Linked DNA regions of Daphnia pulex. The protein of the gene in region 2 purifies or fractionates together with the protein of the main gene of each other region. This does not show direct contact. Links are inferred from orthologs where the notes say so. Each region holds a gene or a part of one and is shown on either strand. Other genes may lie near its edges.

Evidence for each region. The genes of interacting proteins can lie anywhere in the genome.
Region 1: the proteins of MMS19 nucleotide excision repair protein homolog (region 2) and cytosolic iron-sulfur assembly component 2B-like purify together in Homo sapiens (affinity purification with western blotting; 11 studies listed by BioGRID and IntAct, counting the BioPlex papers as one, with this or other methods). This does not show direct contact. The link is inferred for Daphnia pulex from reciprocal best matches to the Homo sapiens genes MMS19 and CIAO2B.
Region 3: the proteins of MMS19 nucleotide excision repair protein homolog (region 2) and Fanconi anemia group J protein homolog purify together in Homo sapiens (affinity purification with western blotting; 3 studies listed by BioGRID and IntAct, with this or other methods). This does not show direct contact. The link is inferred for Daphnia pulex from reciprocal best matches to the Homo sapiens genes MMS19 and BRIP1.

What each region holds. Positions count from the first base shown.
Region 1 is NC_060019.1:10,897,675-10,904,337, reverse strand, and holds cytosolic iron-sulfur assembly component 2B-like, read right to left. Parts: upstream 2,764-6,663; 5' UTR 2,642-2,763; coding exon 2,518-2,641; intron 2,453-2,517; coding exon 2,373-2,452; intron 2,309-2,372; coding exon 2,036-2,308; 3' UTR 2,000-2,035; downstream 1-1,999. Other genes in the region: microsomal triglyceride transfer protein large subunit-like, read left to right, coding at 1-506, 571-661, 747-904, 1,072-1,108, 1,192-1,346, 1,408-1,575, 1,635-1,806; sterol regulatory element-binding protein cleavage-activating protein-like, read left to right, coding at 3,248-6,663.
Region 2 is NC_060026.1:4,196,914-4,205,273, reverse strand, and holds MMS19 nucleotide excision repair protein homolog, read right to left. Parts: upstream 5,568-8,360; 5' UTR 5,525-5,567; coding exon 5,437-5,524; intron 5,255-5,436; coding exon 5,010-5,254; intron 4,954-5,009; coding exon 4,809-4,953; intron 4,739-4,808; coding exon 4,551-4,738; intron 4,483-4,550; coding exon 4,321-4,482; intron 4,255-4,320; coding exon 4,041-4,254; intron 3,981-4,040; coding exon 3,868-3,980; intron 3,790-3,867; coding exon 3,669-3,789; intron 3,606-3,668; coding exon 3,300-3,605; intron 3,244-3,299; coding exon 2,961-3,243; intron 2,899-2,960; coding exon 2,657-2,898; intron 2,590-2,656; coding exon 2,441-2,589; intron 2,369-2,440; coding exon 2,256-2,368; intron 2,198-2,255; coding exon 1,870-2,197; intron 1,804-1,869; coding exon 1,723-1,803; intron 1,660-1,722; coding exon 1,549-1,659; 3' UTR 1,488-1,548; downstream 1-1,487. Other genes in the region: heat shock 70 kDa protein 12A-like, read left to right, coding at 6-174, 242-309, 369-509, 565-873, 1,018-1,215; glycerol-3-phosphate acyltransferase 3-like, read left to right, coding at 6,202-6,354, 6,416-6,763, 6,826-6,960, 7,078-7,155, 7,356-7,511, 7,576-7,691, 7,769-7,910, 7,976-8,184 and 1 more. UniProt on the Homo sapiens protein: Key component of the cytosolic iron-sulfur protein assembly (CIA) complex, a multiprotein complex that mediates the incorporation of iron-sulfur cluster into apoproteins specifically involved in DNA metabolism and genomic integrity.
Region 3 is NC_060028.1:9,935,163-9,943,475, reverse strand, and holds the start of Fanconi anemia group J protein homolog, read right to left. Parts: upstream 4,300-8,313; 5' UTR 4,120-4,299; intron 718-4,119; exon of another isoform or gene 716-717; coding exon 602-715; intron 322-601; coding exon 210-321; intron 1-209. UniProt on the Homo sapiens protein: DNA-dependent ATPase and 5'-3' DNA helicase required for the maintenance of chromosomal stability. Acts late in the Fanconi anemia pathway, after FANCD2 ubiquitination.

The sequences.
Region 1 (6,663 bases), on a different chromosome or scaffold from region 2:
TGTAACCAACTTTACATGCGAGTCTTTAAAAACTTGGGCTCGCCAGAAACGCTACCCATTATTTTGACCCACATTGACAGCCAGGATAAGAAGACATCAGTATGGGCAGTTAAAGCTTTAAAAGCTCTTCCCGCTTCCGTCTTCCTCGACGATCGTGTTAAACAAAAATTGGAGATTATTTACTTTCAAGTTGATCGTCCTTACGACTCGAGCGCTCGCACATTGGCATTGGATATGTTGCTCGATCACCAGCCTGACAGCACTTTTCTTATCAACGTCTTGATTTCTCTTTCGATGGGAGGCAGCGAAAATTTGGAGCTAAACACCTACTCACTGCAGCGATTGCAAGAATATGCCGGAAATGACCCAGTTGTCCGTTCTCAGTTGAAGCAAATCTTATCAGACCGACCTTCTCTTAACAATTATCACGTATTCGCCCAGAATGGAATGTCAACGACCTTCTCTCGCGATCTGTATCGCAACGTTGATGGCAATGGAAGCTTTAGGTTAGGTGCAAATTTTGATATTTAACCAAAGTACGCATTCATAGATAACCTTTTATTATTCTAGTTCTTCCACTGAAGCGGCAAACAAAATGATGAAACGCGCCGCTTTTGATGTTTATTTGCGAAACCCCGAAGACACTTTTCAGCTACTCTCGGTATAATTTTGTGAATTGTTATCCACAATATATAAGAAACTAAAATATTTCAAACATCAACTTATAATGGTATGGTAACAAATAGGTCGGACTTTTTACCGGTGGAATGGGTTCTTTGATGGGTTTTTCTACTGAAGGTGACGAAGAAGAACCTACAGCAGGCATGGAAGTCACACTTGCTGGTGTCCAGCTAAGACCTGTTATTTTCTTCTCGGGTCAAAGCGAGCTAATGGGCCATGTCTGGTAAGTGTATATATTTTACTATATTCCATGCTGTTTTGGCAGGTAAACAAAACTAAAAATGCAAATGGAATGCTTATTGGACCTTGAAAAGAAGAGTTTAACCTGGTCCAAATTAGTAAAATTCTAGTAACATAGAACTAATACCATTTGTCATTGCCAATGTCCAGGTCTGGCACAGCATCTGAAAGAACCACAGCCCTACAGGTAGATTACATTTTGTTTTTCAGAGTTTTAAGTATACAGAAACTAAATTCGGTATTGACATTTCTATTGACATTCATAAACAGGCTACTGTGCTGCTTCAGGATTATCGTAATGTCGTACCACTCCAAAGTGGTTTTGTTACTACACTCGACGTGCGTGGTTCTGTCTCTTTTGATTTTGGTGGCGAAATCCAAATCAGTATTTGGAACAGAAATTCTCATTCAGTTGTCGAAGATATGTAAGTCAATTTACAGACTGGATTTCTGATCATAATGATAAAACTCATATTTTCATTTCAGCGCTGCATGGGAGCTAGAGGGGTCATTAAATTTAAACACGCCGTTTGTTAAATCATCTGTTGATTTCACTGTGGGTGCTGAATCTCGGGTCGATTTCGTCAATGATGTTAGCTTTGCTAACGGAATTCTTTTATGCTTGCGTATGGGCCAAGCTGAATTCAACATAGAGTGAGTGTCACAATTATTTTTTCAGCGTCGAACTAACTTAACATCCCTGTGTTGTTTAGTTACACTGTGCAGAAGCGCGAAAGCATTCCGGGAACTAAGCACTGGATTCACAAAAAGAAGAAACGCCAAGATTTCGTCCCAGGTCGCACGTTCAAACTGAATGACCAGAATTCTGGCTTCTGCAATGAAATGTTCCCTGCAGTTGAGAGTACTGGATCATCTTATTTTTAAAAGCAATGTGTTTTTCTTTTTGTTTTTAGGTAAATATTTTAAATGACATAATTGGGGTCCAAAGATGCTCAAATGAAGCAAAGTGGTTTAAAGTAGTTTACAACTTTCATGGTTCTAATTGAATGTAAATGAACAGGGACAATGTAAAGTAATTGTCACTGAATAGATTTGAATGTGTTCCATCAAAATAAACTGCATTTTCATCCATAATGTATTGATCAAATGGTTATTATTCCAAACTTTTTACTAAGCATTGATTAACAACTTCAAGTAGATTGCTGTTTTCCAAAGCGGCTGAGACTCTTTCTTTGTCAGCTAGCTGTTTATTAACAGCTTCCTCTGAAGCATGTGAACCTGGGGAAATGTTTACTTCAACTTTGAACCTAGGTGGTAGAGACCTGAGAAGACACACTTTGATGGACAGTCCTATTAAAGTTGCCATGCTGCAATGAGGGATTGTTGGAGTGTAAAAGACTTTAACACTGCTTTTTTTGTCATCAACCTGTACATACATAAAGGAAATAGAGGTAATGATTTTGTGTGAAATCAGACATTTCATATTTTACTTCTATATTCGTGATTTGTACAACATTCAGTTCTTCAAGTGACATAGGATGCTCAGGATCATTGATATCCCTTAGCAAATCTATAATTATGGAGAGATAAGCGAATTTGTTTAATGATGTATTACGCAAGTGCGAAAGTCTTTACCGAATATTTCCCTCTCATCTATGGGATCCTCTACTGATTCATCTTCTTCTTCACTTGTTATTTCTCTTTTTGTCTTCTTCGTAAATAACTGTGGATTCACATTTTCGATCCCTTTGGAAGTCATTCTTACAATTCAACACTTTGACAAGTTTATCCGACTAATAACGAACGCAATCGCGAAACGAATAACATGCGAATAACTACAAGTAAACAGAACTAGTAACGGCATCTAGCGATACCGATAAATGTTTAGTTGTGTGCGCGGCGGCGGCTGAGTGAACTATTGCGGAATCGGCAATATTTAAAACTAAATAACTTAATAACCATAAAACATATTGGCAAACGAATTTTACTAATTTAACTATTTTTGTAAACAAATTTTAGGACAACTCTGGTAGGTACTGTATTATTTCTTTTCTTGTTTAATTCCACCACCACGTTACAATTTTCTGCACTAGACGCTCCAGTTGTGTCAAGGCATTGATCTTTAGTTGACATGTTTTTCTTTTTTGGGCATTTTCGACAGGTAAATAGAGATTAAAATTGAATCTGCAGCCGGTTTTAAATTAAAAAATCTCTTATTATATTGATTTTCTTGTTTAGGAGAAACGTTTGCTCTCGGAGGTCATTCCCAATATTGCCAATACTGGAAAGTGTGGCGAAATGTCGTGAAATTTATTCACTATTCGTCGTCTACAGTTTGTTTTAATATTTTTGGACTTACTCAAACATGCCTTTTGTTGAGCCACAAATTGGTCATCATCCCGCCGTCAAAGATGTTGATTCGGCTGGACTTGCTAATGGAAGTGGACTGAATTCAAGCACCAAAGGCCTGAGTATACCCGACAGGGTAGCACTCCTCTACTACAAACATGGCCTTCTGTGTTCTAGCTACCCCTGGTGCACAATCATAGTGGCAATTATTATTGTTCTCACTTCGTGTCATCCTTTATTGTCCTTGCCTTTTCCAGGCAATGAACCAGAGGAGATATCTTTCCCGCTTCCAGAGAAAAGAATCTCTTCTGATCTTGAATTTGGAAAAAGCTTTCAGTATCCAACCAGATGGGGAACTCAGCAACCATCTTTTTTCATACAACAAATAGTTGTACGGTCCTCTGTCAATCCATGGACGTCTGATTTGGGCATGATGGATGCTTTTCGAGGCCCATTGAGTGAAGTCTTCAAGCTGCATTCTGATGTAGTGGGTTTCCATTCACCTAGGAGTAACCTGACTCTTAGAGATGTTTGCCTTTACGTGGAGAGTGTGGCCCCTAGAGCTCGTTCGTTTCAACATCTTCTACCCGAATTCAGCTGCATCATTTTGTCGCCGGCCAATTTGTGGAAGCTGGACGAAAATACCTTCCGCAACGACGCTCAGTTCTTAGACACCATATTTTCTTTCAAGAACCCAGTGGTAGAAGTGCGATCAAGTATGGCCGACATACTTTACGGCGTCCCGCTCAAAAATAGTGGATTGAAAAAATTCCCAGTCAAGACTCGTTCTCGCGTCCTTACGTACGCTATCACAATCTTACTTAAAACTCATTCTGAACCGTTTCTTTATGACTTGCGGTTAAAGCTCCGCAATCAATTTCCTCTCCACTCCACCACTCAAGAATCCACATCATCTCGACGCACCATCGTTCACATTTACTATCCCGAACGTTTCAATTATTTGGAGCTCATCCCGCTGACTTTTGTCTACTTAATCCTGTTCCTGTACATTTACTTCTCTGTTCGCAAGATCGAAATGGTTAAATCCAAGTTTGGCATGGCTTTCAGCGCCGTAGTGACAGTGGTAGCATCGCTGGGCATGTCGGTCGGCCTGTGCACGTGGTTCGGATTGCGCTTCACTCTTCAGGGACGAGACATTTTCCCTTATTTAGTGGTGATCGTTGGTCTGGAGAACATCTTAGTTTTGACTCGCTCTGTCGTCTCTACTCCAGCCAATTTGGACGTCAAGATCCGTGTAGCACAGGGACTTAGTCGTGAAGGATGGAACATAACCAAAAATTTGTTAACAGAAGTGACTATTTTGACGGTGGGCTTCTTCACCTTCGTGCCGGCCATTCAAGAATTTTGCCTCTTCGCCGTCGTCGCCCTTCTCTCCGATTTCGTTCTGCAAATGCTGTTCTTCTCCACCGTCCTGTCCATCGACATATTGCGCAAAGAGTTGTCGGAAATTCAGCGCCAACGACGGCAGCTTCAACCTGGTCAGCAGTACCTGTCGACCAACCACACCGTCCATACTCTCAGTTCAGCAGAAAGGGCATTTACGGGGAATGCTGTCCATCCCCACTTGCGCACCCGAGTCCACTCAGCAGCTGTTTCAGCCAAAAATACCCCAACGGCCGTCGTAGCACCATCCTCCTACACGCACAATCGATCAGCTGCGGCCAGAGTACCACGTCGGATAAGGATCGTTCACTTTTGGGCTCGCACGCGTTTGTTTCAGCGTACCTTTATGGTGGGTGTGGTCATATGGATGAGCATTTTCTTTTACAAATACGTAGTGATGGAAAATTTGGCTGATCAATCGGCCGGATGGTCTGTCGAAGCCAATGATTCTTCACAGGTTGAATTTCCAGCACCACATCCTAATCTCAAAGTTTCGTGTTCTGCCGGATCCAACTGTATTGAACCGGAAGAACCAGATCTTTTGAAAGAATCCACGATTCTAGCCAATTCGGCCGCACCAGAACTATCAGTTACGTCATCCAGCGGCAAAGAAGTAATCGATTGGCAGAATCGGTTACAACATCCCAAAAACGTCGAGCTCTGGAGGAGGCTCTCTTATCGCCACTGGCCCGACCTGCTGGACATTTACAATATCTCGTTGGCCGGAAAGTGCATAGCCATGTTGCCTCCGATTCGAATCTCTATCCCAGTCAACCCAGAACGAGTGTCAGAAGTGCGCAACAGTCGCGATGGCGAGTACCTGACGCGATCGCGATGGAAATCTCTGGCATCAGCTCTCGATACGCTTGATGTTCTTGACGGTGACGATAGTGATTTCGGCCTGTCCGGAAGCCATGGTGACGGAAGTATTGGCGGCGGATCAGGCGGAAACGGTGGCTCCGATGAAGACAACAAGACTCCCTACGTTCCTTCGTCGCCCATTCAAATTATTTTAACCACTTTATTAGCCATACCGAGCGTGGTGTTTATCGCCTACGTGACTGTCGTGTTATATCGTTGCATCTGCTCTCGGCACTACGCCGAATGGAGGAGTTCTTCGACTTTCTGGGGCTGGGCCGGCAATGCTGGTGGTGGGTTGACGCAAGAGTCTCGCGAATACTATTCACAGATAGTAGCAGAATCTATGCCTCTCGTTCTCGACGGTCATCGTTCGCCCATCGAATGCATATCCACCGATGGAGATGTCGTGTCGAGTGTCTGCTTGGCCGGCCAGCTCCACATTTGGGACATCCAGACGGGAGATGCCGTAGCTCAAATTGATAGAAACACTTATTTCGCCGCTTTTCAGCAACAAACGTCGCCGGCCTCTCCCAATTTTCCACGCCACGATACTTACTCATCCACTAACGAACTGGGCGGACTGTTGAGTCACGCCGTTTCTAATCCGATTGTATTTAGATCCCCGGGCTCGTTTCATTCTCCTCCGGCCAGCCCTAACAACCTGTCTTGGAAAGACAGAACTAGTCCAACGAGAAATAATAAAACGTCTTACTTTCCATCGCCCGTCTGGTGCATGCAATGCTTCGATGGCCAAGTGGCACTGGGCTGTGCCAACGGACGCATTGAAATTTGGAGCCATAATTCCGGTTTGCGTTGTCTTTACGACGACGGCAGTGGTGTCGGAGTGGCCAAACTCAAAGTTTGTGGCGAGTATCTTCTAGCTGCCCGATTGAATGGAGTCCTGGAGTCGTTCCAGTTTCACGCCGATTTCGACAGTCCTGTGGAAGATGTCAGCCACCACGTTCATTCTCGTCGTGGCGCCGACGAGTACGACGAAGAGGACCGATCATCTCCATTAGCTTTCCGTTTGGTCCGGCTCAACTGGGCTAGAGCTCACCAACAGCCCATCTCAGTGTTGGACGCTTCGGCTAGTGGCAGCCGCGTCGTTACGGGTTCGCTGGATCATTGCCTCAAAGTCTGGCGACTGGAAACCTTGACAGCCCTCTA
Region 2 (8,360 bases):
TGCAGATGGTTTCTTTTGAAGCTCGCAAGCGTCACGCCAGCCCCTACCGCTGCAATCCACTCAACATTGCGTTACCTTTCTCACTGATTGATTGTTTCCGCAAATATCGTGGGCGTGAAGTGGAATTCGCCATCCGCAAACACGGAGATCCGCACGTCCGCTGGTCCACCCAAGGTGACTAAAACACTCAAATCTGTTGCTATAGAATGCATAGTGAATTTCTTCCTTTTCCCACGTTCAGGAATGCTTCGTCTCGATCAGGAAGCTATGAAGTCTCTTTTCCAACCCACTCTACGTGCTATCATCGAGGTATATCGATCGTTTCCATTATAAATGATGCCACATCTAATTTTGATTTGACGATTTAGCACATTGAGGATGTTTTAATCCATCCGGACCTGATTGGAATTGATTACCTCTTCTTGGTTGGAGGTTTTGCCGAATCACCTCTTCTGCAACAAGCTGTCCGGACACATTTCGGAGAACACGTCACCGTTATTATCCCCCAGGTTCGAAATATTTTTCAAGTTGAATAGTCGCAAATTTTAAAATTTATTTCCCCAGGATGTGAGTCTTGCCATCCTGAAAGGAGCCGTCCAATACGGAGTGAACCCACACGCCATCACAGTACGCCGTTCGCGCTTGACCTATGGTGTTGCCGTCCTCAACCGTTTCATCCAGGGCCGTCACCCGATTGATAAACGCGTCATCAAAGATGGCATCGCCTACTGCAAGGACATATTCGATAAATTCGTCATGGCCGATCAAAGTGTTAGCATGGGCGAGCGTGTCATACGCAGTTACAGCCCGGCTAGACGCCACCAGCGGCGCATCGTTCTCAACGTCTTCAGCGCCGATAATGACGACGTCCAGGTAATAAATCCTTTTTAAAATTTCCATTTTTCCCAGTTCAGTTTGAAACAACAAAAATCCCTCCTCGATAAAAAACAAAATTCAAACGAAAGTCGGAACCATTCGGATGGTTCTTGGTTACTAACCAAGTAACGACTTATGCAGTTTGTTACGGATCCTGGTGTCCGTTTGTTTGCTACCCTCTCACTCGACCTGGGCTTCACCTACGCGGTCAAAACACGTCGTGAAATCCGCGTCACGATGGAATTCGGCGACACGGAGATACGCGCCTCAGCCGTCGACGTTTTTAGTGGCAACACCATCAAGGCTTCCTTCGACTTTCTCGACGACAAGCCGCAATAGACACGGAGCACTACTGACAGCCACTGCAAACAAGACCTCACAACAACAAACTGTAGCAGTATTCTAATCCTGTTTGATCCTTTCCTAGCCAAAATGTTATAACTTTCCACGGCACTTTTTGACATCTACAACAGCTTCTTTTGCTCGGAATTTTTTTTAAGAGCACGATCCTCAAACATAATTGGAGTTTCTCTTTGATTCGACACTTTTTACAAACCATCATCACGCGGAATTGTTAAGAAGAGAATACATATTATTCTAATGCTTGACAATTCTGTTAGAAAAACAGTGTAATTGAAGCTCTTGAATGAATTATGGCACACTAATGAGATGTTAGTTACAGCCGGGCTGGCCCAACATAATCCACTTTTGTCTTGCCAATGCTGCCTCACGCCGGACCAATCGCTTTTTGTCGGACAGACAAGGGACGAGACGGAGGATGACCTATTAAAATTTATTATACAATACGAAGTTGAAGTTCAAAATTATGGAAAAGCCAAAATTTACCTCTGACCGAAGTGGGAGTAAAACAATCGATTGGGCCTTCCTGAGCTCAGAGAGACATTGAAGGGCAAGTCGACGGACGTCCTGGAGATTATGATAAAAATGTAAGTATAAAATTTACAAGCGTGAAGGAACAAAGGTAGATCTTACCATGTTAATGCCGTCTTTGGCAAGGGTGAGTAATCTGGGCACGAGACTGCTGATGTACTCTTCGATGGCACTGACATTGTCGGACATGAGACCCATGAACGCGTTGATGGTAGAAATAATTAGCTGAGCTGGTTGGTCTGTGCTCAGACACTGGATCAGCAGTGGGATGAGTGTGGTTATGTGGGCAATTAAAACACCCTCCGGAATGAAGGCTAGTTGATTGGCGATGGCGGCGAAGCAAGCTGCTTTGTTGCACGACTCGGACTCTCGATACAGTTTCAACAAGCGAGGTACAACTTCTTGAAAAAACCTCTGTCGGTACATTAACCTAAGAATTTAATCAATAAGGAAATGTTCGTACAACTAAATGGAAAACGTTAAAAAACCTGATGTTGGCATGACAATTGAAATTCAGGCATTCCTCGGTTTCACACAAAATCGTTTTAAATCCTTCTGCCACTAGGTACCCGTGCGTGGGATCGTTCAACGAATCAACTAACTGCAAAGAAAAAGGTAATTCGTTAATACAGGTCATGGCGCATGCTGTTACGTCTGTAATCCAATCGCATACTTCTTGGATATACTGATTAAGCTTGGAATAAGATCTCATCAGCAGAGCTTTAGTTATCCAAACAAACAGGCAAACAGAATTGCATCGGTCTGTAGATGGATCCTGCCATTTGCGCCGCAACGAATCGAGTATAGCTTCCAGTTCATGCCCTTAAACATAGCAGGTAATGGTTAACGTTGATGGTTTTGACTTTATAATAGATCCTATAAATTTTACCTTCAGGAAGTTTGTTGACCAGAGCGGCTATTAGCCGACAGGCAGACAGTCTGACGTCGGCTTTTGGATGACAAACAGTAATGGGTTCTAGTGTGTTAACTAGTCGTTCAAGACTGTGTCCGCTAGGTGTGGCATCCAATGATCCCAATGTCGCTTCCATTATGGACAACGTCCACGGAGAACGAGCAAGATGTTGACCTACGTATTGTTCGGTTTGTTCGTTGATGAATTCCGTGGCTTTCCTGTACAATGCCGAGAAGATTACAAAAACATTTCTTCCAACATTTTGATCTAATAGAATTACGCGGAAGATAAACTGGAAGCCAGATTTCTCAATAAAACACAAGTGGCTTGGAGTGACGCCGGAGGATCTCCATCTTCCAATGTTTTCAATCCCCAGCGGTGCAATTGCTGGAATATTTCTAGTTCGTCCCTTTGTGCGAAATGAGTCAAAACTTTGAGTACTTCAAGTCGTAATTCCAGTTCGGGTTGTTCGAGCACGGTCATTAGTCGGGATACCACCTGCGCACGAATCTGGGACAACGTCGGTAGAGTTGATAACACAAGAAAAACCGCATTGGCTTTGCCTAAACAACCAACAGATAACCTCTTTCCGTATTTTAATTGGTAAAATTCAAATTACCTGAGACGGCTATATCTAACAGCTTAACCAAGACTTGCTCAAGGAACAAGTTTTCATTCTTCTCTGCGCTTTTGCAAAAGAAATGACCAATCTCTGCAATAACGCTATCGGTGGCTGTTGATTTCTGGAGTAAATCTAAAAGTGTTCCATTGACCTTTTCCAAGTCTTGGTGGTTCAAACAGGTGCCAATTAAATGGCTCAATCCTTGCAGACTTAGATTGCGAAGAACTGCGTCATCCTCTTGTAAGACCTCAAGGTACAGCTCTAACAATTTTGGTATCAGAGAAGCTACACCACTTTGAGCAACTGTAAAATATAACCAAAGATATGAAAATGTTTCTAATTTTAATAATTTTTAAAATGTGGTACCGTTTGCTTCAGTGAAACCATAGAGACCAGCATGTACCATTTTGTTCAAACTATTAAGGATGAACTGACGTGGATTTGACTGTGGCCTGATCCTGTACTGGTCCATCAAAAGGGGAATGACCTATTTAGAGAAATGGGTTTCTGTTAAGTAGATTTTAAAAAAAATGTTTGTAGTTCTATAAGAGAATAAGAATAATACCTGGCTAACAATTAATGCACACGCGGGCGCACTTCCCGAGCATATCGCTAGCAAAATGTAGCTGCTCGGAGTCATTAATCGCCGTTCCGGTTCACACAAGTGCCCCTGACATTCTATTAATATACAATCTACAGTTAAATATACTCTTAAACGAATATTTGCTACACATTTACCGGTCAGCACATTTTTTAGTAATTTGGTAAAAGCTGGACTGTTAAATTCTCCGTCTGTTGTAAAAGCTCGGGATAAAGCGGCAAGAGCATCAAGTGAGGCATGTTCAAGATCGTCGGTATTGACATTGATCAAGACTTCTCTACGTATACTCGTCCAGAAAGAGTCCACCCATTTTTCAAGTTGGCCTGGTTGATACGTCTGACAGCAGAGTTCCTGCAAACAGTCGAAAATTACAATAGAATTGAAGCATAAAGACTAAATATAGAAGGGGAAAATTACCAAGGTTTTTAAGGCTTCTACTTTAGCTGAAACCAAGTCAGATTCCAATTTCTCTTGCAGTAACGGCAAACAATACTCTGCGAAATGAGGGCTACCGGCAAGGCACTGTCGTAATCCATCACAGAGCTGTTCTTTAGTTACTGCATAAGGATCATTAGCTGGCTATTCAAAATAAGAGTATTAGGATTTACTGACATGTAGCAATAAACTGAAAATTTCAAGAGACTTACAGGGGTGAAATCGATAGGGAAGTAGCAACTAAAAACTTCGAAAAACTCTTCTGTAAACGGCTCGAATCTGAAGTAACGAGCAACTACAGGGAAAACACTGAAGAGAATCAACAAGTTACGTGGGTCTCTTTCTTGATCAGCTAACTGGATGAGACCAAAAACAAAATCTTGGCCTAGGTCTTGTAATTCTGTAAGTTTAAAAATAAAATTTAGAAAATACTAACACAGCATATATATTTAGAAATTTATAATTTAGACCTTTTAGATGAAAAGCCAAGAGGTTTTTCACTGTTTTGTAAATTGCTCTTCTGTCATGCTGCAATTGTGATTGACAATGAACATCTTGAAAAATGCTCTGGGATATCAATCTGGCCAATCCAGGGGAAAGCTTAGGTGCTGTGCTCTATGACAAGGTATTAAATTTAACACTTTTGTATTGAATAGTATTTTTTTTCATACCAAAGCATGGAGGCCTTGCAGTGCGGCAGGTAGTATTGAATGATGATCTTTTAGCTTGCTACAGAAGAACTCTGTTACAAGTTCTACTTCCTTTTCATTTAGTCCCTTCAATTCAGGCCCCAACTGTTCCAAGATTGTGCCAATAGTTGACACTGCTTTGCATCGGTGAGTATTTTGTTGATTCAGTAAATCTGGTTGCAAATCTTCAACTAGCTTGAGAATTGTTAATTCTTTTGATGCAATTGCTGAAAAATTAAACAAAGTCATTGATGTTAACTTGTTAAAATTATTAAACATTTTCTACACATATGTTTTAAATCTGGCGCGCTCATGATGGACACGTGTTTTTCCTTCTTTTTTTCTAATTTCGAACACTTGAGCGGAGTACGAAAAAATGTTTCTTTCAGTTATAATTATAAAAACTTACATTGACTAATACAGCGAATAGATTCATTCGCGGATTCTTCTGAATTAAACGAATCTCTGAGTTTGTGAATCGCAGTCGAGATCGCCATGTTTACTGTTTACCTCTGCCCTGATTATGTAAACGTCATCTGCTTTTAAATGACACATGGTTGCCTACCTCTCACATTCTTCTTTTCATGAACTGATTATTCATCGAATATATAATTTTGTCACAGATTATGTAATTGTAAACAAGCAACAGACTTTTGTAACAAATTTCGTAATTAAATATTGAATAACCGCATTCCAACATGTTTTGAAATAGCTTCCGTGAACGGAGGAAAATATCACCCAGGTTTTGTATTTTCTAGATTTTTCATTACGCATTGGAAAAAAAACAGATGGGTGGAGACTTCCAAAGTAAACTTTTATGTGATTCCGATAAATCGTGCTGGTAAGCATGGGAGGACTAGAAAAAGATAATTAATCGCGTCAAGGTCGCACGCGCAACGCATAGAACCAATAGACAGACGTATTTTTGAAGTCAGTTGTAGCCTGAACGTCCCATTATAAACGAGAGTCCCAAAACGTCTGTCGTAGCAGTCTTTTAGTAGACTACGTTACGCGAATTCCACTCACGCACAACAACTCAAATCGGCATTTCTCTTGTCAACCTTGAAATCTCTCTCTTCCACCACTTCCTTTAACGTGGTCCCGACATCTGTTGCCTTGGTGTTCGACAACGACAGCAACTTCTTGAACTGGAGCTCCCACCAACAATATTACAATGGGGCTCGAAAATTTAATTCTTTTGCTAGTACTTAGTATAATTTTTATGCCTGTTATCCTGGTAATTGGTTGCTTGGTGCTAGTGATGACATGCAACTGGTCAAGGAATTTCCGATCAGGATATGTTAAACTACTATTGAAGGTCTTTCAGGTAATATGTCTTATTCTTAGTATTTGAGTTTTCGTAATGCTCATAATCTTTTTTATACTAGTATGGAACTGGTAGGATAGAAATTGCTGAGCAGCAAAAGAAACTAGAGACCAATAAAGGAAAGAATGGCTATGCAAATGGAAATGTTGTGGAAGCAGTGGAACAAGCTGAGGACAAATTATCAACTGGACATGCCATTATAAAATCTTCAGCAATGTCCAAGGAAGATCTAGTACTTTTACCTAATGGAAACTCATCTCCAAAGACACCCTCCATCCCCAAAAACAGATCATTTAACAGTTTGAATAATGATTTTATTCTATCTGACTGCCTTGACTTTGTTCATGCGGGGGTGGAAGCAATCATTGAGGACGAAGTTACAGGAAGATTTGTAGCTGAAGAACTAAAGGTACTCAAATCTCACCTACCAATTTGGTTCACAGTATCTAACATTAAATTTGTACTTCCCAGTCTTGGAATCTTCTTACTCGCACAAACCGCCACTATGAGTTCATCAGTGTTCGCCTTACTATTACTTGGATTTTGGGTTTCTTTGTACGCTACTTCATTCTTCTACCAAGCAGAGTTACAATTTGCTTTTTAGCTGTAAGTATACTTCAAAATGTGTTCTTTGTCAATTATTTTGTTAGTATTATTTTAACTATATTATTGCAATTGTAATGAAATTATTCATTTGTCTTTGATTGATGTGATTTTCTATAGGTTATTTGGTTAACTTTGTGCACAGGACTGGTTGGCTTCCTAAATGAAGGTCCCATGAAAAGAGCCATTTATGAGAAGGTATAAACTCCAAATTCTCTTTTTACCCCGTTCAGTTATCGAATTTGACCTCGTGTAGATAACTGTAGAACTCCCGATGGTTCGAATAGGACAAAGTTCGAATCAACATTTGCTCCGTTTATTCATATCTTTTCTTTAAGAGTTTGCATTACAATACTTTCTTGTTTTAATATCTTATTGGTTTTGTTTTGGTTTTGAAGGTTTCAACATGGTGCTTCAATTTTCTATCATGCGCGTTATCAGCCGTCGTCACTTTTCACAATAGAGAGAATATACCTAAGTGTGGTATTTGTGTGGCGAACCACACGACTCCGGTGGACGTAATGGTTCTCCACTGCGACAATGCGTATGCGCTGGTATGTTGGATTTAAAATTTTTAAAAATCTATATATTTATTTACTTTTCATTATTTTTTTAAAGATTGGCCAGCGTCACGGTGGATTTTTGGGCATTATTCAGCGAGCTTTGGCTCGCGCTTCTGCTCACATTTGGTTTGAACGCTCCGAAGTCAAAGATCGTGAAACTGTTGCTAAAAGGTAATATCGATTGCCGCATACCGGATTTATAGATCGAGTTCCTATTCGAAAATCCTGACTTTTGATTATATTTTCAGACTAAAAGAGCACGTTGACGATCCTGATAAGTTGCCTATTCTTATTTTTCCCGAGGGAACCTGCATCAACAACACTTCTGTGATGCAGTTCAAAAAGGGCAGTTTTGAAGTTGGCAGTATTGTTTATCCTGTCGCAATTAAAGTAATTTGCTTCGTTACGAGATTGCCATTGAGATTGCCATTATAATAATTTTATTTGTGATTTAGTACGACGCAAGGTTTACCGACGCATTTTGGAATTCTAGTCGCCACTCGATGATTCAATATCTCTACATGATGATGTCCTCTTGGGCTTTGGTCTGCGACGTTTGGTACCTACCACCCATGCACCGTCGACCAGAAGAAAGTGCAATTGATTTCGCCAATCGAGTCAAAGCAGTGATTGCAAAACAGGGCGGCCTAGTAGATCTAGCTTGGTAAGTTGGTCTTCGTAGACTTCACCTCGAAAAAATCGCCGATTTTAACGCTTTTTGAATTCCAATTTGATAGGGATGGAGCACTAAAACGTATGAACGCCAAGAAAGAATGGAAACAGAAACAACAGGAAGAATTCAGCAAACGATTGAAAGTTGAGTGATTCTCGTCTGTCGGC
Region 3 (8,313 bases), on a different chromosome or scaffold from region 2:
AGGTCGCCCTTATTGTGCGCTTTCCCCCGACAATAGGGATGACAATGGGAATGAAACGTTATTATTATTGATCCAAAGATTCATGTGCGCTACACAATACGCGTACACGTAGTGGACTAGATTTACGTTGTGCGTAAGTCACTCGACTAACCAATTCCCCAACATCTGACTAACTACTGAAAATGAATGTCAGTTGGTTTGTCTCCTACCTGCTTCCGCTCTCTGCCACGCCAGGCTGGCGCACAACAAGGCCAGTGTTTTGCCGGATCCGGTCGGACTCTCCAGTAGACAATGCTGGCCACGCTGCAATCCTCGAATCACCTGGACAACAAATAAATTATTAGTAATATCTACTTAATGAACCCCACACACATTTTTTGGGGTTTTTTTTTCTCTCCCCCCTTCGTCTGCCGCTTGCCTTTCCCTCTGATTACGTATTGATGTTAAAAGAAGATAACGAATTTGGTATAGTGTGTGTGGCTCACGTTCGTGAGGTGGCCTCATCATCATCCCAATAGGATCGCAAGCAGCTTACGCATAAGTAGATCAGAGCCTCCCCTACCATAAAAAGAAATATACAAGAAGCATGTGTGTCTCTTACTTTATCCATCATGGCAATCTGCGACGGATAAGCCTTGGCCGGAAACTCGACACGGACACCGCTGATTGTGTAGACATAGTGAAGCCGGCCGTCCGGACCAACGACAGTGGCCATCTGCGAAAGAATCAAAATGAAACAAAAATTTAAAATATTTAAAAAAATAAATAAACAACAATAAAAAATAGAACATTTCTTTCGATTATTATTTGAGAGAGAGAAAAAAAAACCCGAAATGGTTCGTCAGTTCCAAATAAAAAGCTATTTTCCATTGCCCCCACTCTCAGAGGACGTCGCTTCAATTATCTTAACGAGTAGAGCCGGTTCGGTATTATTCAGCGTGCGTCAGAGTAGAAGAAGAACACACACAGAGCGAGAGAGAGAGAGATGCTGACAAGGGAACAAGAGGAAACTAGAGACGATTATCATCCCATAGAAAAGAGTCATCATCTTCCTCTCTCTCTTTCTCTCTCTCTCTCTTCTCTTGTTAACGACTGAAGCGAGTGGTCGCCTCACATTAAGGCTCTCTTCTTTCATCGCTATACATTGAGGAGCTGGCTACCTTCGTTATTATTAGACTGGACGGATGGAGAGTCCTCACATTCAGCGGCTCTTTCTCTATTTTCACTCGGCAACCAAAATGAAAAAGGGGATCAACTGAGAAACGAAATTCGAAATGTTAACTATCCGCCCGCACTTGTAAAGGAAGTAGACGATGGCGGTGGTGCGGAATTGACTAATTACATTGGCAAGTCCCAATTATTCGATACATTCATCATCCGACTGAGTGACTCCCGCAGAGTGCGGACACACGACGACAGAGAAAAGTTTCCTTTTCCATCATTAATCAATAAACAGAAGAATAGCCGCCAACCGTTGAAGTACATCATCATCAACCGGCTGAAATCGATACACAAAAGTATCGACTCTTTGCATTCAATCGGCTATTTCTCTCTTTCTAATGATTCCAAAATTAAATGCAATCTTCTGAGAAGAAGAAAAACAAAAGTATTTTAATCCTTCCAAATAAGGTCCGTCTGCGCTTTTTGTTCTGCTGGGCGATTGTCATCTTTCGGCTTCCGAATGGTCTGAAACTCCACTTTGATTGACGATGACATCCATCGGCTGATAATATGGCCGACTCGCAGGTGACGGAGGGTGGAACGAGGCCCCCGCCGCCACCTGATTCATTATTCATTAAGAGAATATTTGTAGGTTAAACCAGTTTGAGGGAATTAAATAGAAAAGAGAACGAAATAGACAGAAAAAAAGATTTCCCTTCCACGTGCCATGCACCTGGCGTGCGAGCGAAACGTTTTCCACGAAAAAATAAAAAATAAGAAAATCTAAAGAAATAATAAGAGAGGACGCTGGAAAAACGGTAAGCTTTTGTCTGCCTGGACACGGACCTAACCGAGCCAACCAAATGGGATGCTGAAATACATCCAATTAATAATCCAGGGCTGCGCCACACACACAAAAATTGGGCCCAGGCTTCTTCTTCTTCTTTTCAGCGATAGCGTGATCTTCTCAACGCGAAAAAGACCAACAAAATGACACACACGCAGCCGCAAATGAGTAAAAAGGAAAAACCAAGAAGAAGAAAAAAAAAGCAAACAGAAAAACTAACGACAGGCTCGTTAAATGGCGTGCGGTTATCCCAGTTTTGTTTGGTGCGGTGATGACAGGTGCAAAATGGGGGAAAAATGAAGAAGAAGAATTCAATTCTTGGTGGGCTCCGGGCAACGTCTCTTGTTTGCTCGCCTTATTATTACGGGAATTGTGTTGCTGTTTCCTCGACACGAGAAGACAAGGTCACTAATGACTAGGTACAAAATATACCAAGAAGAAGAAGAAGAAAAACAGTTGAAATTAGAAAAGAAAAAGGGGGGCCACCTCTATCATCAACCTGACAAAAGTCGCGCGTTCGACGCTTCCGTCGGCCCACAGATCTCCTATTTATTTCTACTTTTCCTTTTTCGTTTTCAATTGTAAAATGGTCGGACACAACAAAGTTGGGATTGGAAGGAAACGGACAAACTAAGGGCACAACAAACAGGCCAGCAGGCGAAGGGCGGGGGAGGTGTTTTGTAGTTTCCTGAAAACGCGTATAAACAAATCATCAAGACACACCATCAAGCAACTCTCCTCAACAGTTTCGTGTTTGACCTGTGGCTACGTTTTTTAATTTTCGTTTTCTGGGAGGAGGGTCATTTCACGGCAGACACACAACTGTCCAAATTATGATTCAGATTCCACACTCGGAGCTGTTGGCTTTTCCCCCTTGAAATGTTGACGTTTCTCGCCTGTCAGTCACCAGGTGAGAGACTACTACACCAAAAGCTCGGGGCCTATGAGCCAAAGCGAAATGCACCCCGCAGAGACTTCCCTAAACTTGTCTGTAATTTTCAGTGTTGGAGGCTATATGTGCACGGGTATGTTACAAGTCGAGGGGGTTGTCAAGTCGAACCCTGTCTTGAAATCTTCCCTCATGGGAAACTTATAACAGTCACATCACGCCGACAGAGTTTAAACGATCAAACATCCAATTTGATTGTGACAAGAACCAGAGGCTAGGAGGGTATCTTCGACCTTGGTCCGCCCGTCTCACAGACTTGCTGGCGTGATGCATGTGTGCAGGATAAGATGCCTGAAAACTCATTACAGCCTCGCAATAATAACAAGGCATTCTAGCTGCTTCCACTTGGGCCAAACTCGGAGAAGAGGGGGGTGAAGAGCGGATCAAAAGCAAACTAGTCAACTAGTTGAACTGTGTTGTACTCTTGATACACCGGCAGCAGCACCAAAACTAAAGCGAGGCAAAGGCAGTTATTCGGCTTTACAAAAGTGATCTGGCATTTAGGTGTTTAAGTCTCAAAGTTCAAACTGTTTGGAAACCAGTGGTGGTGTTGAATATTTCAAGCTAGGATTGTTTCACATGCAACAAATCTTTCAAACAAGTTTCAGACACTTTTCCCCAACCAAATCCCCTACCTAATCTACCTGTCACAACTTGGGAGGAATTAAATTGAATGCCAACTGACTCTGTATGAAAGAAGTGGAAAATACATTAAAAATGACTTTCACTGTCATAATAATGAGAGCAGCAGCGCCTGATGTGTTTTGAACTTGTTCAATTCAGCGTAACCACATCAAGATATTTGACACTCTTGACGAGTAGCACTCAAGCCACACCTTGAAGGAAAAAAACACAGGATTCAAATTCTTATTATAAAATTACGGTTGATGGGCTAATAAGAAGAATCAGGTTTTACCACATTGCTTGCTTCTAGCAATTCTGTAACATTGAAAGCTTTTGAGTTCATTTTTCCCTAGAAAAAAGGTATCAACAATTTTGTCATTGTTTGCCATTGCTCTTGAAAAAGTCTTTTGCTGGTTGTGCATGCTGTCTAGGTAAATTAACTTTCAAATGGCAATCAACTGGCAACTCAATGACGATTTTAGCCCTTCACGTGGTTATTTATGTAATTCTTGGAAAAAACAAACAAAAATGGTCGTACCTTTTAAACTGGTATGTTGGGGTTGTGTTCAATTAGCTTAATGAAAAAACCGTGAGGACACAAAGAAGAAAAATGAGAAAAAACAACAACGTGGTAAGGACACCAAGTGATAACAAATATGCCGGGAAAACGACAAGGGATTGCCAATTTGCGTCTGCTATCAGCGGGCGCGTTCGTAAATCAATGGAATTTTCGACGACTATTCACGTTCGTGATGTCCTCAATCCTCATTCTTACGTGGCAAAAAAAATCCAGACTGTCCAACTGCATCACCGTGTATATTTTTAATTCCAACATTAATTGTTAATCAAGATTTTTCGTTTTCGTCACCGCTGCGTGACAAAGTTGTTCACTGTCGCCACTAGGTGGCAGCGAAGGCGACTATTCCGTCTCTGTGGCCGTGATTCAGCATCGCTCGGGAATGTGGAATTACAGGGAAGATCATCTCATCAATCTTTTCACGCAAAAAGCACCCGCTGATAAATAACAAATTAAACCAATCTGATCATTAAGAAAAAGATGAACCCCGAAAAGCCTGAAACCCAAAATAGACATTGTTCAAATGAAAAATAGATGTTTCGCTGGTTTAAATATTAGCCACATATCGATTTCGACGCGACAAGTATAAAGACGCACTCGCTCACTTCGTATCACGCTTGTGAATTAAGTTGAAGTATGCGAAGAATTTTCGGCAAGCGGGAAAAAAAGAAAAGAAATTGGGGAATTTGACGTCCATATGCGCGTCTGTGGAAAGGGAAAAAATGGAGAATCCTTAATATTAAAATATTTTGTAGGTTGTGATTTTGTTATTTTTCATTCCTCTTTTTTTTTTGGCGTACATATCAAGCCCGTGATCAGCTCCAATGAAAATATCCCACAGATTTCGATTTTGATTCCAAGGTTTTTTCCCCTCTGAAAAAGTTAACGCCGAAATTTCCTTTTCTGACTCTACTAAGGAGTTTGTTTGCATACTGGAGAAGGAGGAGCAGGCATCAAAGTATTTTATTTTTTATTTTTATTTTTTAAGGGAATAGAAATAAGGAGATGTGGGGGGCTGTGTTTGCTTTTGCTCCGCGTGTCCAGATGGAAAAAAGAAAAAAAAAAGGACGGACGAGAGAGCGCGCGGTTCCAATTGACAGGCTCATGAAGCATTTGGTACCTGCTCAGCTTATTAATGCGGGCAAGAGCAGAGGAAAGAGAAGAAGAAAAAAAAAACCTGTCGGGACGACTGAAGTTTTTTTTTCTTTCTTTTTTTAAAAACAACAAGAGAGTGGAGAGTCCTGCTGCATCGGTCCACAAAACAGCAGGCTGCTTTGATATGTGTCTGTCTGTTTCTCTCCCTCTCTCTATCGCCCAGGACCCCCAAACATCCCCGTGGTCTCCTCTTCTTCTTTTCTCGTTTTAGACTTTGAAAAGAAGAAGAAGAAGAAGAATATCAAAAGCGGATACATTTATATAAGGACGTTGTAGACGAAGACGAAGAATCCACCCATCACTTACACGGAAACACACCTGAAACTGAACCGTCCGCTCGTATGTATATTTAAATATAGCCGGGGCAAAAAAAAAAGACAAGATGGGGGCCTGCCTGGGCGCGAGAGGATCCCATCACCGGGTCCTTCGGGTCCACAGTCCGTCGTCAGGGCAAAAAAGTGGCGTGTGTGTGTGTGTGGCGTGCTGGCTCTTTTGCTCTGGCTGCTGGCCTTCGGATAGCCTTCTTTGGCGGCGCCTCTCTCTCTTTGCCCAGTGTCTTTTTTTGTTTTTGTATTTTTTTTGTCCAGCAGCTTCTTCTCTTTTTTGTTCTTTTCTGTACAGTCGACAAGTTCGGGAGCGAATCCATCTATTAGAGAAACCGCGCGACCGGCTACCGTCTTACGGACACGCCAGCCATCTACGGTCTTGAGGCATTTGTTACTCTGCGTCAACCACTTATACACACGACGACCTTTTCTTTGGCTCTGTATAAACATACACATAATCTAAATTTGAAAAAATAGAAAAAGAAAATTCAAGTTTATTTTCTTTTTCTTTTGGCGAGATGATTCGAGCAAGTCAATCAAATATTCCCCAAAAGAAAGAAGGAGGGAAGAAAAATGTATAGTCGCCATTAAAAATCTTTCGCTATCAGAAATGGTCTGGAAACACCAAGCGCGTTTGGATCGGGTTCCGCCAAAGGATTTTTTATTTTTTATTTTTTCTTCTCTTTTTCACATGTTATGTTTGTTTTGTATTTCCCTCCCAACCTGAAGAAAACAAGATGAAATCGTACGACGGGCGGTCCATCATCATCGGTCGGTTAAGAGAAGAACAAAAAAATCATAAAAGGAATAAATAATCAATTTCCTTTTTCCCAAAAAATAAAGAAAAAGAAAATGTTTCATTGAAAAAAAAAAGACTTGGAAGTCTCTCTGCCGGGCGAATGAGGTGGTGCCCATCTGGCGCCAGGTGGGCGACGAAGATATTACACACACGGCCCCTACCTAGTGGTGGTGGAGGTAGTGTGGTGGCGGCGGCGGCGGCGGCGGCAATTCTCCGGCTATAATTCATCACGGGCAATTGCCATCTTTTCTCAAACGACGGATAACTCGAGTGACACTGCGGCGCTAAATCAAATCCCCACGGTTAAAAAAGAAAAGCCAAGAGCCAAGAGGGAGGAGGAGGAGGAGGCCCCCTCAGTTTCTAGCGTCTATGCCATGGCCGTGTGTCATTAGACTCCCCGTGGCAAACTCTTAATGAGAACTCCTTTTCTCTCTCTCTCCAGTTGATTGGCATGTAGACAGACTCTCTTTGAATGCTTTGCGCTAGAAAAAAAAAATAAATAAAAATCTGAAATGATTTTCATGTCGCGATGGCGGCAGCTGTGGCTCGTCTTCATTTCCCTGTGCGCCAATGGAAAATAAAAAAACCCCGCCCATTCGTGGACCTGCCATTGGTCACTCCTTTTTTCTCAAGGCGGCGGCCAACTCTTCACACAAATTAAAAACTACACACTTGCGTAAGTTTTTAAAATAAAGGAAAGAAACCTAAGCTTCTTTCAAATTACATTTCCCAATATGATTCCGTGTGCGGAAGCCCGAAAATAGTACAAACACATGAAAAAGATCCTTGGGCGCGCCGCATCTACGTACACAGCGTATAAAATTGCGCCCAAGAGACGACGTCGACGACGACAAGAGTCTCTATCGATGTCAAAATCTGCCTCGGCACTTGACACACGGTTAAATAAGTGAAGCCAAAATGAAAGGGGGCAACACAAAAATATCAAAAAAAAAACCCAGTCCGAGTCGACGGTATAGCCAGCGATTCGTTATTCCTGATCAGATGACTAGATCGTTCTATATAGCAGCTAGAAGAGTAGTACTACTGCGAGCATCTCTCTTATCTCTTTTTTCTGTGTGTACATGTGTATATCAAATGAGTGAGGGGGGGCAGAGTCTCTCCTCGGGAGAGGGCGGCGCAGTTGTCAGTAAAAGGTTAAGTATCGGAATAAGTGGAGGGGAGATGCCGGCCATCCGGCTTCTTCCTCCGGCTCCGTTTTGGAGGAGTAAAGAGAGAGAGATAGCCGGAGCATATTGCAGCAGGGCGATTGAGAGATACATAAACTAATACGCCATTCGGTTGGATACAAAGGCGGAGGGGGCGACTTGACTATAAGGTTTATATTCCATCGTGATAGTCTCGCATCCAGCTCTCTCCCTGTGCTGTGTGTGTGTGTATTTATACAAGTTTTATGTGTCATCCGGATAGATCGGGTCTAGATGGGAGGGCGGCCCAGCTGATGTAGTATCTCGTCCATGTCTATACGTTTTTGTGTGTCGACCCTTCTTTGCTGGTCGCATAGAGGTGGCCGTCAAAGATGGCCCGTGTCCAAACTGACCGGATAGGACGGACCAAAAAAAAAAGGGAACAGAACGGATATGTTATGTATATATTTCCTCCCTACCCTCCCCCCCAAAGTTCTACTACTTTTTGCTATATACCATCACACAGATGCATCGCAGATATAGTGCCGGACACACACATGGACCTACCAAACATTTTTTGGCAAAAGCGCCGGGCCAAAACTTCCCCCCGGAATGGAAATTGGGCAATAGGGAGAAAGAGAGACAAAACCAGAAAGGGAAGGGGGATACGGTTACGCGCGTTTGAATAGAAAAGAAAAAGGACAGACAATATGTATATAGGAGAGAACAA